Linked DNA regions of Nothobranchius furzeri. The protein of the gene in region 3 interacts with the protein of the main gene of each other region in a pairwise test. Links are inferred from orthologs where the notes say so. Each region holds a gene or a part of one and is shown on either strand. Other genes may lie near its edges. The genes, in order: amfra, rnf25 and ube2d4.

Region 1 (8,329 bases), on a different chromosome or scaffold from region 3:
CCTGGGCTCTCATAACACCTGAGCAGTGCCACAGACTGATCGAGTCCATGCCACACCGCATTACTGCAGTTATTGAGGCAAAAGGAGCCCCGACTAAGTATTGAGTGCTATACATGCACATTCTTTTCATGTTCATTCTTTTCAGTTGGCCAACATTAGAGAAACAAACATTTTTTCATTGGCCTTTAGAATATTCTAATTTTCTGAGATACCAGATTTGATGTTTTCATTGGTTGTCACCTATAAATATCAAAATTAAACGTAATAAACATCGGAAATACATTGGTCTGTGTGCATTGCATGAATATAATGTACAAGTTTCACGTTTTGAATGGAATTACTGAAATATTTTCAACCTTTTGATGATATTCTAATTTACTGGCCAGCACCTGTAATATGGAGTTGATGGTAATTGAAAAAGTAGCTTGAGATATTTTTAGACCCAACTACCGTATTTGTTTCTAATTCACCATTAGCATTGTTAGCTCACCATTAGCCTCTAGCCTGATTCATCTGATGTTGGGAGTAAAACAAAAAGATGCCATGACTTCTTAGGGGTACAAGAAAGAACTTCTGGGTTGCTGCTGTTTACTGGCTTTAGTTTTATAAATAACTCTGGTGCCAAATTACAAATGTGAATGCTACAGGGTTAGACTGGCACAGACTTGGAAACCTCACAGGTTCTGCTTCAATGGAAACCTTCCTTCCAACAAGAGTGAGGCATAAGACTGTTTTGTTATTTCTTTGCAGAATTCTTACATATTGCTCCTTTAATTCCTGACTTTTTTTTTTGAACAGATGAACTTATTAATCTAACTTTTGGTTAAACCAAACCACACATGCATAGCAAGTCTGTATCTTCATGATTGTTTTCTACTCATGATCCAGTTTGGTTTTCTAGAATGTTCTGTAGGTCTCTTTGTAATGAAGCATTGTGGGAAAGATGATGTCAGCACATTAAGAAATGGGCCTATAAGATCAGGATTTCTGGGGAAACCTGAAAAGTCTCACAGGATTCAACATAAAATGTGTGGATAAATCACAAATAAAAACTCTAGTATATGTTCCACCTCATGTGTGCTGTCAAAGCACTTTGTTAAAGATAAACATTAAAAATAAAGCATTGGCTTAGATAAAAGCTGAAGGTTTGACAATATGTATATATTGTATGTATGTTGATGGGTTTGACAGAAAACAGAAACAAATAGAATCAAGAAGCACCTGAAAGTCTGAAGCTTCTGTTTTCAGTATAAATGACTGACTTCCCTCTTTTGCTTTTTGTTGTGCATTTTGAAACATGCTGTAAAACTCAACCTTGTTTGCAAAACAATTAAAAATACACAATATGCACTATATAAGCACATTGTAAATGTTTTTTACTCAGACACGTCTGTAGAAACATTCCAGGGTGACATACACCAATGTCCTTTGCACTCCTGACAAATGACACTTTGCTGCACCTCCTCCTTCGTGCTTCATGCTGTAAACGCATCCCTCCAGCAGAAAACCTCCCACTGTGACATATGTGTGTAAACAGCACATGTGGGGGAAAGTCTGCACACCCTTCTGAACACCTCTGGTGTTCAACTGTACAAGAAAAAACAATGTTTTTTTCCACAGAGTTGGGGACAACTTTCAACTCTAGGTTCAAAGCAGTTAACTGTCCTATTAAAAACAGGAGAAAACTAAAGGTGGTTCAGTTGCTAAAAGTAAGAAAAGCAAGTTGTACGACATGCATACGATCCAAAAACTCAAATATAATAATAATCCTTCAAAGGTTTCCCCTAATATCATGTACAGCCCACAAAATAAATTATTTAGGAACTACTTATGATAATTACAACAGCTGAGCTACAAGACATGACATGGGTGTCATATGTACCACACAATCTCACCAAATTACCCAAAACACACGCCAAATCTTTTATCTAGAGCTGCTGAATGTGCCATATACCCCCAAAGGCACAAACCTGCAGACGGATGGAAACAGGAAAACAGCTGGGTTGAACATAACCGACGTGCTTGAGTTTATAAAGACAAAGACCATCTCATTGTTTTATATGAAGAGAAAGTGTGTGTAATATAAAATATTTACACAAAACAGGTAGAAAAAAATAACTAGTCACTGTTACATTATAGCTACATTATGTTTAGGAGTTTTTCTTAAATGTCACAGCTTGCATGATGGTAATTCAATTTGATATTTTGTTTTTCTCATCTTGTGAGACAGGAGAGTGTTAATGTAGCAACTGAAACTCTACCAGCAGGCAAACATGTCAGAATATGGAGCTATTTATAGAGCTGGAGCTGGAATAAGTACATCTGCACTCAGACTTCTGAAGGACTTTCAGGGTGCAAAGAGGTTTGTTAGTTGGATTTACTCAAAAATCATGTATTTTTACTTTTTTACAATTTAAATCTTAATGAAACAAGACATATCCTGTGTGCAAAACAAAGGAGAAGGTTTTAAATTGCGGTATTTAGGTATTTTATTGAATAGACTGAACTCCTTCTGCTAGAAAATATTTAAAAACACATTTAGATTTTTGATTTTTAATTTTCTATACATTTAAAGTGATAACAAGCTGCATGTGGTGGTGTGTAAATGATTGAAAACCACTGAAACATACAAAAACAATGCAGTCCCATGCAACCAAAATGTTGGTATTCTCAAATTAACCAGTTTTACTTAATTCTCAATTGGAGCTAATAACTTGCAAACCTGTATAATTCAGCCCTTGATGACCCTGAAACATGTATGGGGAGGTGGATGCAGTGAAAAGAGATGGTGTGATAAAACATACTTACATATTCAAAACGATCTTTGCAGAGCTGTACCATGAGATGTAGAAAAACGAGGGCAGAGAACCACAAGCACCACATGACCACCTCCTCCACAGTTTGCACGTTCAATACTCCAAATATGAAAATGAACTTGTAAAAGATGAAATTCCAGAATTTATCCTTGAGATGCTGGGAGAAAAATAAAAAGCAAAATAAGATGCTTTTTTCTGACAATAAGCACTAAGTAAGTTGTACATTTTAGAAAATATATTTATTCCAGATATTTGAGCAAAACAAACAGATTCACCTGCTTTTCAATGACTCTGAGTGGCCCAAACACCACATACTGGATCATTTTAGCAATTAACATTAAAGAACAGCAGAATGTGTTGACCAAGACCTGCAAGAATGTGGAGAGTGGCATGATTATTAGTTTATTGCATGAGGAATATTATATCACCTGTGAAAACTCGTAATGGGAAGGATGCTCACCCATACAAAGAGACTGTCAGTAACAAGATACCACAGGACAGTTCTTGCCAAGTCTGTGTTGCTAACTGCACTACTTAGATGATGTTCAAGGTTAAATTCGGATGGAGCTGGTGTATCCTCGGTCTCCAAGGCCCCAAAGCCCGGGTCAGTGACAGTAGTGTAGGCACTGAAGATGCTTCCAGCCAGCAAAGCCACACTCAGGGCTGTGTAGGTCTGCAAGCTGGGCCATGGAAACCTCTCCATAAACAGCAGAGGCATTGCAGTGCTTGCGGTCCACTTCCTGACTTGTAAAAACTATGTCACTCCACCACCTGCCTGGGAGGGAGTTAGCAAAGGTTAGCCAAACTTTAATGAGCAAGGTGTGAGCACTATATAATCACCCTTGTGCTGGCGATCGCAGTTACTTAATTAGGGATAAACACATGCAACAAGCGGCCATTTCGAGGGTGTTATACTATCTTTACCTTTTTAAAACTAAAAGAAAGGCTAAAATGAGAAAATGGCTAGGCTAACCTCCAGATGAGGATCGACAATCCCATTGCTAGTGAAGTAAAACCGCAGCTTAATTAAAAATAATGTAATAAAATGTATAACTGGGTGGCTGAAATTGCAAACAGTATCAAAGGAGAATAAAAAATAAACAATAGTATTTCACGCCCAAAAGTGTTAAGTTATTTCCCTAGTGTTGCCTAATGCTAGCTTTCAAGCTAGCTGACGTTAGCTACGTACTTACGCGTTGTTGATAAACTCCTAATAGGCCTGTGTTGGGTTGCCACTTACAGATAGCCACAAAGGTAAACACGAGATCCAGGGTGGTGTGCTCTGAGCTGGGCTGGACTTTACGGGTTCTACACGAAAAACACAGCAGTCGTCAACATTGTTGTTGTTTATCTCACCGACAGTTAGCAGGCAACTAGCCGAGATATGACGTCATCGGGACAAATTTAAAGTCACAGTAATGGAAAATAACCCGACCTTACCAGCTCCGTCATTCATTCATTCATTCATTCATTCATTCACCGCTACAATTTGCAACATATCGTAATGTTTTAACTGCTGTGGTTTTTTTCTCGAGGAAAATTGAAATAGGTACGGAATCTTCACTTAGTGTTTAAGACAGTTTATGGTTAATCATTTATTTTGCATTAAGTTTTTTTTTATGTCAGCTGGTTTAAAAGGAAAAAACTAATGTTGAGACTCTGCATTTCTGCAAAATCAAAAAAGTTTCCTGGCAAGCCCTATTTATGTGAATATATATGCAGAGATGCAGTGCAACATCGTTTTGCTTCGGCTACACTCTGTCTAGACTTCTAGGCTAATCCATGCTTGCTGTTATTGAATTTTTATTAATTTCATTGCTATTTTAATTTTTAATTCAAGCAAAATGATATGTGGAGAAATATATTTCACTTCTGTCTATGCTGAAACTGTATCATGGAGGTGATTAAAAACAACTGACTTGAACTAATACAAACCCACTGCCCATTTTATAGAAGCGCCTTGCTTGTACCAGGTTGGTCTCTATTTTGCCTTCGAAGGGCCTTTATTCTTCTTGCCATAGGTTCATCAAGGTGGAAATATTCCTCAGAGGTTCTAGTTCATGACATTATAGCAGCACAGACGCGAATTTACAGGGAGTGCTGAATTATTAGGCAAATGAGTATTTTGTCCACATCATCCTCTTCATGCATGTTGTCTTACTCCAAGCTGTATAGGCCCGAAAGCCTAATACCAATTTAGCATATTAGGTGATGTGCATCTCTGTAATGAGAAGGGGTGTGGTCTAATGATATCAACACCCTATATCAGGTGTGCGTAATTATTAGGCTACTTCCTTTCCTTTGGCAAAATGGGTCAAAAGAAGGACTTGGCAGGCTCAGAAAAGTAAAAAATGGTGAGATATCTTGCAGAGGGATGCAGCAGTCTTAAAATTGCAATGCTTCTGAAGCGTGATCATCGAACAATCAAGCGTTTCATTCTAAATAGTCAACAGGGTCGCAAGAAGCGTGTGGACAAACCAAGGCGCAAAATAACTGCCCGTGAACTGAGAAAAGTCAAGCGTGCAGCTGCCAAGATGACACTTGCCACCAGTTTGGCCATATTTCAGAGCTGCAACATCACTGGAGTGCCCAAAAGCACAAGGTGTGCGAAACTCAGAGACATGGCCAAGGTAAGAAAGGCTGAAAGACGACCACCACTGAACAAGACACACAAGCTGAAACGTCAAGACTGGGCCAAGAAATATCTCCAGACTGATTGTTCTAAGTTTTATGGACTGATGAAATGAGAGTGAGTCTTGATGGGCCAGATGGATGGGCCCGTGGCTGGATTGGTAAAGGGCAGAGAGCTCCATTCTGACTCAGACGCCAGCAAGGTGGAGGTGGAGTACTGGTTTGGGCTGGTATCATCAAAGATGAGCTTGTGGGGCCTTTTCGGGTTGAGGATGGAGTCAAGCTCAACTCCCAGTCCTACAGCCAGTTTCTGGAAGACACCTTCTTCAAGCAGTGGTACAGGAAGAAGTCTACATCCTTCAAGAAAAACATGATTTTCATGCAGGACAACGCTCCATCACACGCGTCCAAGTACTCCAAAGTGTGGCTGGCAAGAAAGGGTATAAAAGAAGAAAAACTGATGACATGGCCTCCTTGTTCACCTGATCTGAACCCCATTGAGAACCTGTGGTCCATCATCAAATGTGAGATTTACAAGGAGGGAAAACAGTACACCTCTCTGAACAGTGTCTGGGAGGCTGTGGTTGCTGCTGCATGCAGTGTTGACGGTGAACAGATCAAAACACTGACAGAATCCATGAATGGTAGACTTTTGAGTGTCCTTGCAAAGAAAGGTGGCTATATTGGTCGCTGATTTGTTTTTGTATTGTTTTTGAATGTCAGAAATGTATATTTGGGAATGTGGATATGTTATATTGGTTTCACTGGTAAAAATAAATAATTGAAATGGGTATATATTTGTTTTTTGTTAAGTTGCCTAATAATTATGCACAGTAATAGTCACCTGCACACACACAGATATCCCCCTAAAATAGCTAAAACTAAAAAAAAACTAAGAACTACTTCCAAAAACATTCAGCTTTATTAATGAGTTTTTTGGGTTCATTGAGAACATGGTGGTTGTTCAATAATAAAATTATTCCTCAAAAATACAACTTGCCTAATCATTTTGCACTCCCTGTAAAGTTCTACCCAATTACAAAGGTGTTGGGGCTTTTTTTATAAAGTTTAATTTACAAACAAAACAGAAAGTCACTTAAGGCACTTTCTATACAAGACTTTGTGATTCATAGAAAACAAAAACATCACAGAAAATGTGCACAATTTCACACAAACTCTGACCCTTGCCTATGCACATCTTGGTAAAAAGTGCAGCTGATGAGACGGCAGAATGGTCAATTCAAGCCACATTTGTAGACTTGAACACACACACATCACATGTTTAAAGTCCCATATTATACACCCTCATATTAGTATTTACCCAGAAAATTTGCTTTGCTGTGCACCTGACTTGCTGACTTGGTTCGTTCAGTTGTTACCTGTAGTCAGCAGATTGGCCGCCATATGTGGAACTGCTATGATTGATTAGCGTCGTTGGCCAGCAGAGCAAGATGCACTTGTTTTTGTGATTTATACTCATTACCTATTATGATTTGTATTAGGGATGTCCCGTTTCGATGTCAGAAATAATTTGGTATCGGCACCAAAACAGTGTATTGGATTACATCAGACTGCATCAAAAATCTTCGATATGTTAAGATTCACATTTTTGCAACCAATGGTTAAAAAAAAAACAATTTTTTTTCATCCGTACTGGTATGGGCTCTTGTTCTTCGATTGAGTAATATCACTTGATCAAGCCTTTCATACATTCCACACTCCAAATTAGGTAAAAGTATGTATGTTTTGTGCTGATATCGTATTGGATTCATATCGGTATTGGTCAGTACTGAAAGTTGCAATATCGGTATCATATCGGAAGTGAAAAAATTGTATCGGGACATCCCTAATTTGTATTGCGGTGATGATTTGTGTTTGAATTGCTGCTCTCGATTTGTTTTGTACATGATTGTGTTTTGTACATTGTCATTTTCAGTTTTGACAGTGCAAAGTGCACGGTCTAAAGTGAATAACAAGAAAGAAAGAAACAATAAAGTTTATGCACCCATCAAGCCTCTTTTATGGTGCCAGGGGCAGCTACAGTGAAAACATATCCAGCGACAGCTCATCACAGCAGGACTTGTCGAGCAACAGTTAGGAAACAGCTTGATGCAGAACCATCAGGATTGCCTCTTTCCTTCCCTTCTAACCACCTCAGAAACTGTGAGTAGGAGATTCTTACGCCGCAGAATGCACCAGGACTCAACGCCTCCTTAGGAACCGTAAAATGGACTTTTTGCTGCACAGAGCAATCAAGAGTTAAAAATGTATGCTATGTTTTATTATTGGAATTGTTGGGTTGTAGTTATATGTGTCAGAATTAGGCATAAAACTATCTCTCAGAGCAAGCTCTAGAGAGAGCGTAAGGTAAATGAAAAAGTCAAAGAGATGAAAGAGCAGCAAAATGAGAAGAATCAAAAGTCTTTTTATAAGACGTACAACACATGGGGGGAGTTGGCAAGAGAAATGAGGACAAAGCTCAAAACTTTCTGAGGATCTTGACAAGCTGTTAAATGGTATTACAGCTAAATGAACCCCAGTGCACAATTTATATAAGGCTCTTTGTTAAGGTTATGTCACAGCCGCTGTCGGTACAAGATCTGCTCGGGTGCAAGATGAGTAAGGTCTAGTTGCAGACGCAGCCCCGACAAACCACGCCCCCGACCAAACACGCCCCCATGTGCCTGTTGAGCTCCCCCGAGCTCCCCTGGTGGTCAGAAAAGGGAAATATCTCAATAATGGTGTCGGTGCAAGATTTATTTTTAATTATTATTATCATTAAATGCTTATTACATTTTCTCGTGAGACAACAACACATAATGGAAACATACAAGGCATCCTTGGTAACAATAAAAGAAACACAAATAAGAAACTTAAAAAGA
Region 2 (3,600 bases), on a different chromosome or scaffold from region 3:
AACATTCTTTTGAGTCCGACTTCATTCTTACCTCGTGGATATGAATCAAAAAGCGATTTGACTCCACCTCAGGGTCGATGATCCCACCTTTAGATCTTTGTTTCTCCAACAGCTTCTGGAGCTCACGCCACTTCTGCTGAAAGTCTGACCCGACCGCTGCCTCGTCGAGCTGAGAGGAGAAGCCTGTTAGGTTTCTGTCACTGATGAGGGGCACGTCAGGTCTGTAAATCAGAGTTTTACCTCAGGCAGCTGTGGTGCAGGAGATGACAACAGCTGATCGATGTCATACATGAGAGGCTCTCGGCACACCGGGCACAGCACAGTCAGCTCCTGTCAGACAATCAGAGTAAGGACTCAGGAGACCTTGGACTTTGGTTGGCGTGTGCCGATTTGTGACCTGATGGTCGGTTTTGTCCCTGGTCTTGTCCTCCTCCAGCTCCCTCCTCCTCTGGCGGAGCTCCCTCTCAGAGTGACTGGCGTAGCGGCCGAGACAGTGAGAGTGGAAGTAGTGATAGCAGCTCGTCTTGGTGAACGCCTCGCCCTCCTGAGGGAGCACAATTCATGAAGAGTGTTTATAACCGACTGTTAAATCTTTGGATTAAAGTTCAGACGCCAAACGAACAGCACAGATCAGAGCAAATGGTCATGACAGGCGGGCAGATGGGAAACAGCTTACCTTAAAATCATACAGGCAGATGACGCAGTTTCCATGAGGAATGTTGCTTTCAGTCAGGATCTCTTTTGCTTTCTGAAGGAGAAAAACAGTGAAGAAAATCAGTGAACAGAGAACACGGAGTATTATATAACAGGTGGATTCATGTTCTGACCTCGATGAGCTGGTATAAGACTGGTGAACCGAGCCACGACTCAGCCTCCAGCTGAAGACATTTTTGGACGCTGAGCAGAAAAACTCAGATTTGTAAAAGATTTTAAGCAGAATGTGGGCAGTTTCTTTGGAATGAAGCTGTGAATAAAACATCGTGTTACCTGCTGAGTATATCGTCAGAAAGCCCACGGGGGTTACGGATGGAGATGACAGGAGATGATGAGGGGTACTGAACCAACAGAGACAGCAGAGTGAGTCAGATCCAGTTAGAGAGAGAACAATGAAATAATGACTTTGTTAGTCTGGAGCAGGCTGTAGCCTGTTGTAATCTAAAGGGCACGAGTCATAAAATGTCGTGTAATAATATTATACAAGACAAACACCGAAGGTTATGTTTGCCCCTAGAGAGGCACTAGCTTCTGAAGCCAAGACATGTGCTTAGTTTGTTTTCCAAAACAAATATCACATTTTTTGGTTTATTATTAAAAATGTGTATGATCTACGTCTGCACTAACCGTTGTCTGTGCACACACATGAGGTAACCTCGGACATACCTGCTGATTGAGGGTCAAAGTCAGAGTGAGTCGGACAAACTGAGACACAGAGTCCTCCGCCGTGGATGGGTACAGAACCAGACTCACCTCCCAGCTCCTGTAGCAAAAACACAACAGCAGACACACGAAGGTAGTTAAAGCCCCACCAAATTAAAATATGTTTCTAGACATTTCTGCTTAGGACCAAATGAGAACCACTATTGTCTACTCAGTTTAATGAATACACTGGCTGCACTTTCCAATTCATCACTCAGTCATTTCCTGGAAAAATAGATACTATTATGTTTGTTTTGATTGCTAATAATTTTTTATACAGATGCATTTAATTCTGGTTGACTGTCATTAAATTAAACCCATGGTAAGAGTTAAAAAATATATATACATATATATAACATAATCAGCTGAGTTTTTTCCCATCAAATAGATTTGGGAGACATTCTTATCCCTTTGTTGCAAATATTTAACGTCTTCATATCATTATTTGCTCACATATAACCCAACCAGTGATTTATAACACAAAGATGTTCTGAAATGAGCAGATTTACCCCTCGTCCCTTCTGTCCACCTTCAGCTCGTCCAGATAGATGGACTGCAGAACCTCGATCTCAGACTGAACACTGTAAACAAAAACGGTTTTCGGCTTATTTACTGTTTTTAGCCTGGCCCTTTTGACGTAACCTGTTAGCTTCCCCTTCAGCTAGCTACAACACCTACGACATTTCATCCGATTGTACCGAGAACAGCAAACCTTAATGTGCGGGAGCGTGCGGGTAAAATTCAAAGCGTGTCATGAATATTTTGAAGGAATTTTTGCCATATCAACAAACTCACTCGTACTCGGTTGCCATGATGATGTCTCTGCTGCTAGCTGCTGCTAAGGCGGATACGGTTTTCACACAACCTGTCAAAATAAGAGACACGACGGCGTTTAAAAGACATGTCATGATCCAGTTTTTAAAAATGTTTATTTATTTATTTATTATTTATAGCTGTATTTGTGTGCATTAAGCATCTATGGTCTAAGGAGCTTTGTCTTCAAGCAACTCAAAGAAGTCCAGACGCTTTTCTTTCAAAGCTCCTTAGACTACAATGACCTGGATGACTGAGAACCTTCACAGACATTAAGCATCTATATTACTCTCTAAGATATGTCGAAATATTTATTGATATTAACATCCGTTTCGAAAGATTTTATTTAAATTTTATACAAAAATAAGTACAGTTTCATAACATTTGGCCTTTACTGACACCTGGTGGAGTTTGTATAAGCAATTTTGAAATGTTTTATTTTGTAGTTCAGTTCTGTCAACTTGTGTCTGTGGCCGGCTGTAGTGATTATTCTAACCGCTAGAGGGGGCGAGTAAACATTAAAACCGATTCAAACTCAACAAATACTTTTTACGGACGGTACCTGCAGGGGGCAGTGTCCACCCCTGTAGCATGTAAGTGATAAAAAAAAGTAGAAGAAGTCAACCCGCCATACCATGTTCATATCTGTATTGTAAATTACTATTTGCTTGAATGGAAAAGTTATTATTTAGTAAACTCGTTGAAACACGGTTGAGACACGGGGCATGCTTTTTACACATAGCGCCGCGGTAAGACAAGACATGCTGAGGTTTAAATGCTGAATCTACAGGAGCCGGTTCGGCATTTGTGAAGAAAGTGTCATAAAATGGAGGAAATGATGATGGAATCGGATTCGGTGGAAATGTCTGAGCCCGGAGCGCTCCAGGGGCTCGCTGAGGCGTGGGAATCCGTGACTGCAGCTTTGGTGAGTGGGTCAGAGCCTCGGACACGAGCAACCAAACACTGAATGAAGTGCTGTCACAAGACTCCATTCGTAAATCACACGATTGAATGATGTTTTGGATTTTACATTGGTTTATTAAGGGCTAGACACAAAACTGGCGTTATAAATAGTCAGCAGGAGTATTCGGTGGATTTCGGCTTACATTTGTTGACGTCATCGTGTTTACTGACAACTTTACTCCATGCAAAGAAAAATGGGTTGACTACTAACAACTCAATATTCATAAGTTTGAGTCAGCCATTTAGTTAAAAACAAACACAAATGACATGTCGAAAAAGGCTTATATTAAACACCTATATTATAATAAAATGTGTATTTTATGTTGGAAATGATTTTGCTCTTTTACTCAGTTCTGATTCCATCTCTCATCCATTCCTACATTAACCACCTGCCCCTGAATACCAGAC
Region 3 (3,570 bases):
ATAGCGGTGTCAGATTCTGAGCAACTACAGCAATCAATTTCCCTCTGGGATTAATAACGTATTTTTGAACTGAATTTAATTAAAATTCAAATGCAGTGCAGAGTTTTTACCCGACAACAGCACAACACTGACAGTTTTAGGCAGAAAATTTAAATTTTAACTAAATTGCACTAAAGTGCAAAACTATTGACTGCATGTGTCTGCAGCATGATTAGACACGCATTTATATAGTTTATCAGGGAAAAAAAGGTTGATTTGGGGTGACTTGCTCTTTAACAACAGCCTCATCACTCCTACTAAATTTTGGCTTGCCATTGTTAAAACAAAATACAGAAAGACAAAATTGCGAAATTGCCCATCTGGATAAAGTGAATTTGATTGGGGTTAGAAAATAAGTAATCATTCATCTATCACCCACATGCAGTAAGTAGCTATTTTCATGTCACTAAAATGCATTAATGTTTTACTGAACTGAAGAGGGAATTGGGGGCCCAGTGTATCCCATATTTGTCAATCTTAGTATTTTTATACGCTTTTTCGATAAGCCTAAGCACTTTTGAAACCTGTACTTTTTACTTCTACCCAAGTATCATGCTTGAATTGATCCTTCAACTTCAACAGAAGTCTTTAAACCCCCTAGTATCTAAACTTGAGTAGTAAATATGTATATTTTTAAAGCCTCTGTTCTGTAGTCAATAAAATGACCCTTAAAATAGAAATCGTGACACTACCGACAGTGCCATTGTAGTTTTTAAACGAAAGCTCGCGATAGTAACTGTTTTCTCGGCACCGAGAAGAGAGAGGAATAGAAAGCTAAATATCTAAGTTGTTTTGTAGCTCTCTGACGAACCGAAAATTAATAGGTCGTGGGGAAATATTTGTCATAGAGCGAAAAAGCCGAAATTTACTGGATGTTAGACGTAATTTCATACCTGTAACTGAAGTGAGGTTTGATAGAACGCGGCTACAGAATCCAAATTGTATGTCTAAGGTGCTAACTGTTAGCTGACAGGCTACCTAGCATAGCCGCCGAAGCAATGGCGTTGAAAAGAATTCAGAAGGTGAGTGTTTATATTTATTAAGTTTAAGACATGATTCAGATTCGATTTTTCTTCCTCTTTTCGAACCGTTTTGATAAAGTACATGTGTGTGGTGTTTTAGAGGTGAACTAGCTACGCCGTTGAGCGTTTTGTTCATTTAAAAAATAATTCAAAGACAAAGGCGAGCTGACCAACGGTGGCCCGGTTTGTGCTTGGCTAACATTAACGTAACTACCCAATTAAGCTTTCATTTGGGTTATTACATCCTGCTCGTCTGACATTTTTCATATTAATCCTGAAACTTTGATAAGGACTCTGGAGTAAGAAGTTGTTACTGTTACTTCGTGGGAGGTTAGCTTTCCTGCTAACGGTTGTAACGTGTAGTCCTTGCCTGGATTTTGTTCTTGATCACTAATTTATCAGTCACATTTATCGTTTTAGTTTACCTTGTAAAATTATGTATGACGACGTATAAATTCGCTGAATGACAGCTGCTCGATTGTTGCCAAAACTGAACCCTAGAGTCAGTGTTGCCATATATGGAATGGCAAATGGGGCACTGGAACAGGCCATGGTGTGTATTTATATAATAGGCTTCCTTACATGAGATGTTAAATAACAGGCTTAATTTCTGTTCAAGCACCGTGTTTTGCTGTCTGTGCTTTTGTGTGTGATGCAAATGTAGATTGGTTACTTGGGCTGTGGACTGAGTTAATTTGATTTAGTTTCGTTTTTGTCCATTTTGTGTTGTATTTTTAATATTTGTAGTTATTATGTGTTTGCTAAACTAAACAGCTTGTCCTTATTTTCTGGAAGTATGTCTATAAAACAACATTTTGTGTTGCACAATGATGTCATGTCTGAAGTTGAATTTTATTTGTACTGAAGATAAAAGAGGAAAAGTGTTGCAAATAGGGCTGCACTGTGCATCGCAAATGTATCGTCATCACACTATCAGCATACACAATACTCATATTGCAAAGAACAGAAAAAAACTGCAATAAAGGATCATCTTAATTTTTTTCTACACATAATAAAGCATATTGTCAGTCAAACTGAAGCATTACGTTTTTGACTGATCAAATAGTCCTTCACCTGTTTGGCCAATTGGGTGAGTTCTTATAGGTTAGATACCGCCACCTAGGTAGACAGCACTTCATTTGGATGGCTAGCAAACACCAGAGTTAGCTGTGTTCTGCTCTTTCTGCCGACTATTCTTTTCCTGGGATCCCCTGAGTCTTTATTTTATTTTTATGATTTGGTTTTTGATACATTTTTTTTGTTCTTGAGTTACTATTTATGTATTGCAAGTCATATAATCATCGCAAAAATAATCACTGTAATTGTGCATCGTAGGTTTTCCTAATATTGTGCAGCCCTAGTGTTAAATACATTGTTTTGCAGGAACTTCAACCACAAGTTGTTGTAGGAATGTATAAATGAATATAAAACTTTGCAGCTCTGACAAATACCTCTCCATATCTTTAAACCGCAGATGTTACAGTGCTTGCTTTAACAGATATGTTCACATAAATGAACCCTGCTGTATGTTTATTGCAGCATTTAATTTGTAACTGTTACTTACACAAGCTGTTGTCTTTTTTTCCCTAATATATGAACTTGAGAAACTGAAAAGGCACATTTTGTAGTAAAAGCATGAAATTCTGCAAAAGTGTTTTAAAGAGCAAGTCAAAGAATGGTGATGTAGGACTTGGGAGTGCAGGCTGCTGCCTGAGGGGTGGTTGGAGACGGTGTCTCCATGCTGCTTTGTTTTGGTCACTTATGTGCGTGAGGCGAGTGGTGTTACGACCCTTCCTGGGGAGTTTGGCTCGTGTGCAAAAAGGAAGGGACAATAACACAGGATTTAAAAGTTAAAATGATGATCAGGTTTATTTACAACAACAACAAAAAACCATAAATCTTTCCATCCACAGGTTGGGAATAATAAAACTAATTCTGCCTGTGGGGAATTAAAACAAAAGTACAAATAACTAGGGATGTCCCGCAGGGCAAAGATTACTGGGTTCTGGACCAAAATAAGAATCTCCAAAGGTCCAAACTCTAAACTGGGTGGTTAAACCAAACTCAAGGTGAAATTTTAAACTAAACCGAAAACCCACGACACTCTAAATGTAATAAAAGGGAGATCTACGCCACAAAAAAGATGAACTCTAAACCAAATCGTAACAGCTTATCCTATCGCAAGAAGCTGTTAGCGAAAATGCTAACAGTAGCTTTACCAACATTAAGTTCAAGTTACCAAGTTTAAATAAACCAAAAATACCCAGCAGCAAACAGACCAGCATGGAGGAGAGACTGCTACCACAAAAACAGCTCTCCTAATGTCTGAAAGAAGCTCCTTTATGAAGGGAGAAACTCTCCCGGTGATTTTCTACATCTGCGGTAGACACGAAGCAGCGCATTTGATCCCAGAAGTTGTTGTCCGTTGCCGGGAGATGAAGGCGGGCAAAACAGGCAAAGAATCTAGTAGCAGACGGACATTGTTCCAGTTCTTCGGTATTTGGCGGAG

Evidence for each region.
Region 1: the proteins of ube2d4 (region 3) and amfra interact in a two-hybrid assay, tested with the Homo sapiens proteins (2 studies listed by BioGRID and IntAct). The link is inferred for Nothobranchius furzeri from reciprocal best matches to the Homo sapiens genes UBE2D4 and AMFR.
Region 2: the proteins of ube2d4 (region 3) and rnf25 interact in binary tests that used the Homo sapiens proteins (3 or more experiments, as listed by UniProt). The link is inferred for Nothobranchius furzeri from reciprocal best matches to the Homo sapiens genes UBE2D4 and RNF25.

What each region holds. Positions count from the first base shown.
Region 1 is NC_091749.1:54,390,407-54,398,735, reverse strand, and holds the start of amfra (E3 ubiquitin-protein ligase AMFR), read right to left. Parts: upstream 4,197-8,329; 5' UTR 4,057-4,196; intron 3,592-4,056; 5' UTR 3,535-3,591; coding exon 3,277-3,534; intron 3,185-3,276; coding exon 3,092-3,184; intron 2,974-3,091; coding exon 2,809-2,973; intron 1-2,808. UniProt on the Homo sapiens protein: E3 ubiquitin-protein ligase that mediates the polyubiquitination of lysine and cysteine residues on target proteins, such as CD3D, CYP3A4, CFTR, INSIG1, SOAT2/ACAT2 and APOB for proteasomal degradation.
Region 2 is NC_091745.1:17,479,773-17,483,372, forward strand, and holds the start of rnf25 (E3 ubiquitin-protein ligase RNF25), read right to left. Parts: upstream 2,502-3,600; 5' UTR 2,325-2,501; coding exon 2,212-2,324; intron 1,998-2,211; coding exon 1,926-1,997; intron 1,478-1,925; coding exon 1,381-1,477; intron 1,056-1,380; coding exon 988-1,055; intron 898-987; coding exon 828-897; intron 749-827; coding exon 677-748; intron 545-676; coding exon 398-544; intron 331-397; coding exon 241-330; intron 170-240; coding exon 32-169; intron 1-31. Other genes in the region: anapc2 (anaphase-promoting complex subunit 2), read left to right, coding at 3,056-3,154. UniProt on the Homo sapiens protein: E3 ubiquitin-protein ligase that plays a key role in the RNF14-RNF25 translation quality control pathway, a pathway that takes place when a ribosome has stalled during translation, and which promotes ubiquitination and degradation of translation factors on stalled ribosomes.
Region 3 is NC_091757.1:38,231,081-38,234,650, forward strand, and holds the start of ube2d4 (ubiquitin-conjugating enzyme E2 D4), read left to right. Parts: upstream 1-770; 5' UTR 771-1,037; coding exon 1,038-1,061; intron 1,062-3,570. UniProt on the Homo sapiens protein: Accepts ubiquitin from the E1 complex and catalyzes its covalent attachment to other proteins. In vitro able to promote polyubiquitination using all 7 ubiquitin Lys residues, but may prefer 'Lys-11' and 'Lys-48'-linked polyubiquitination.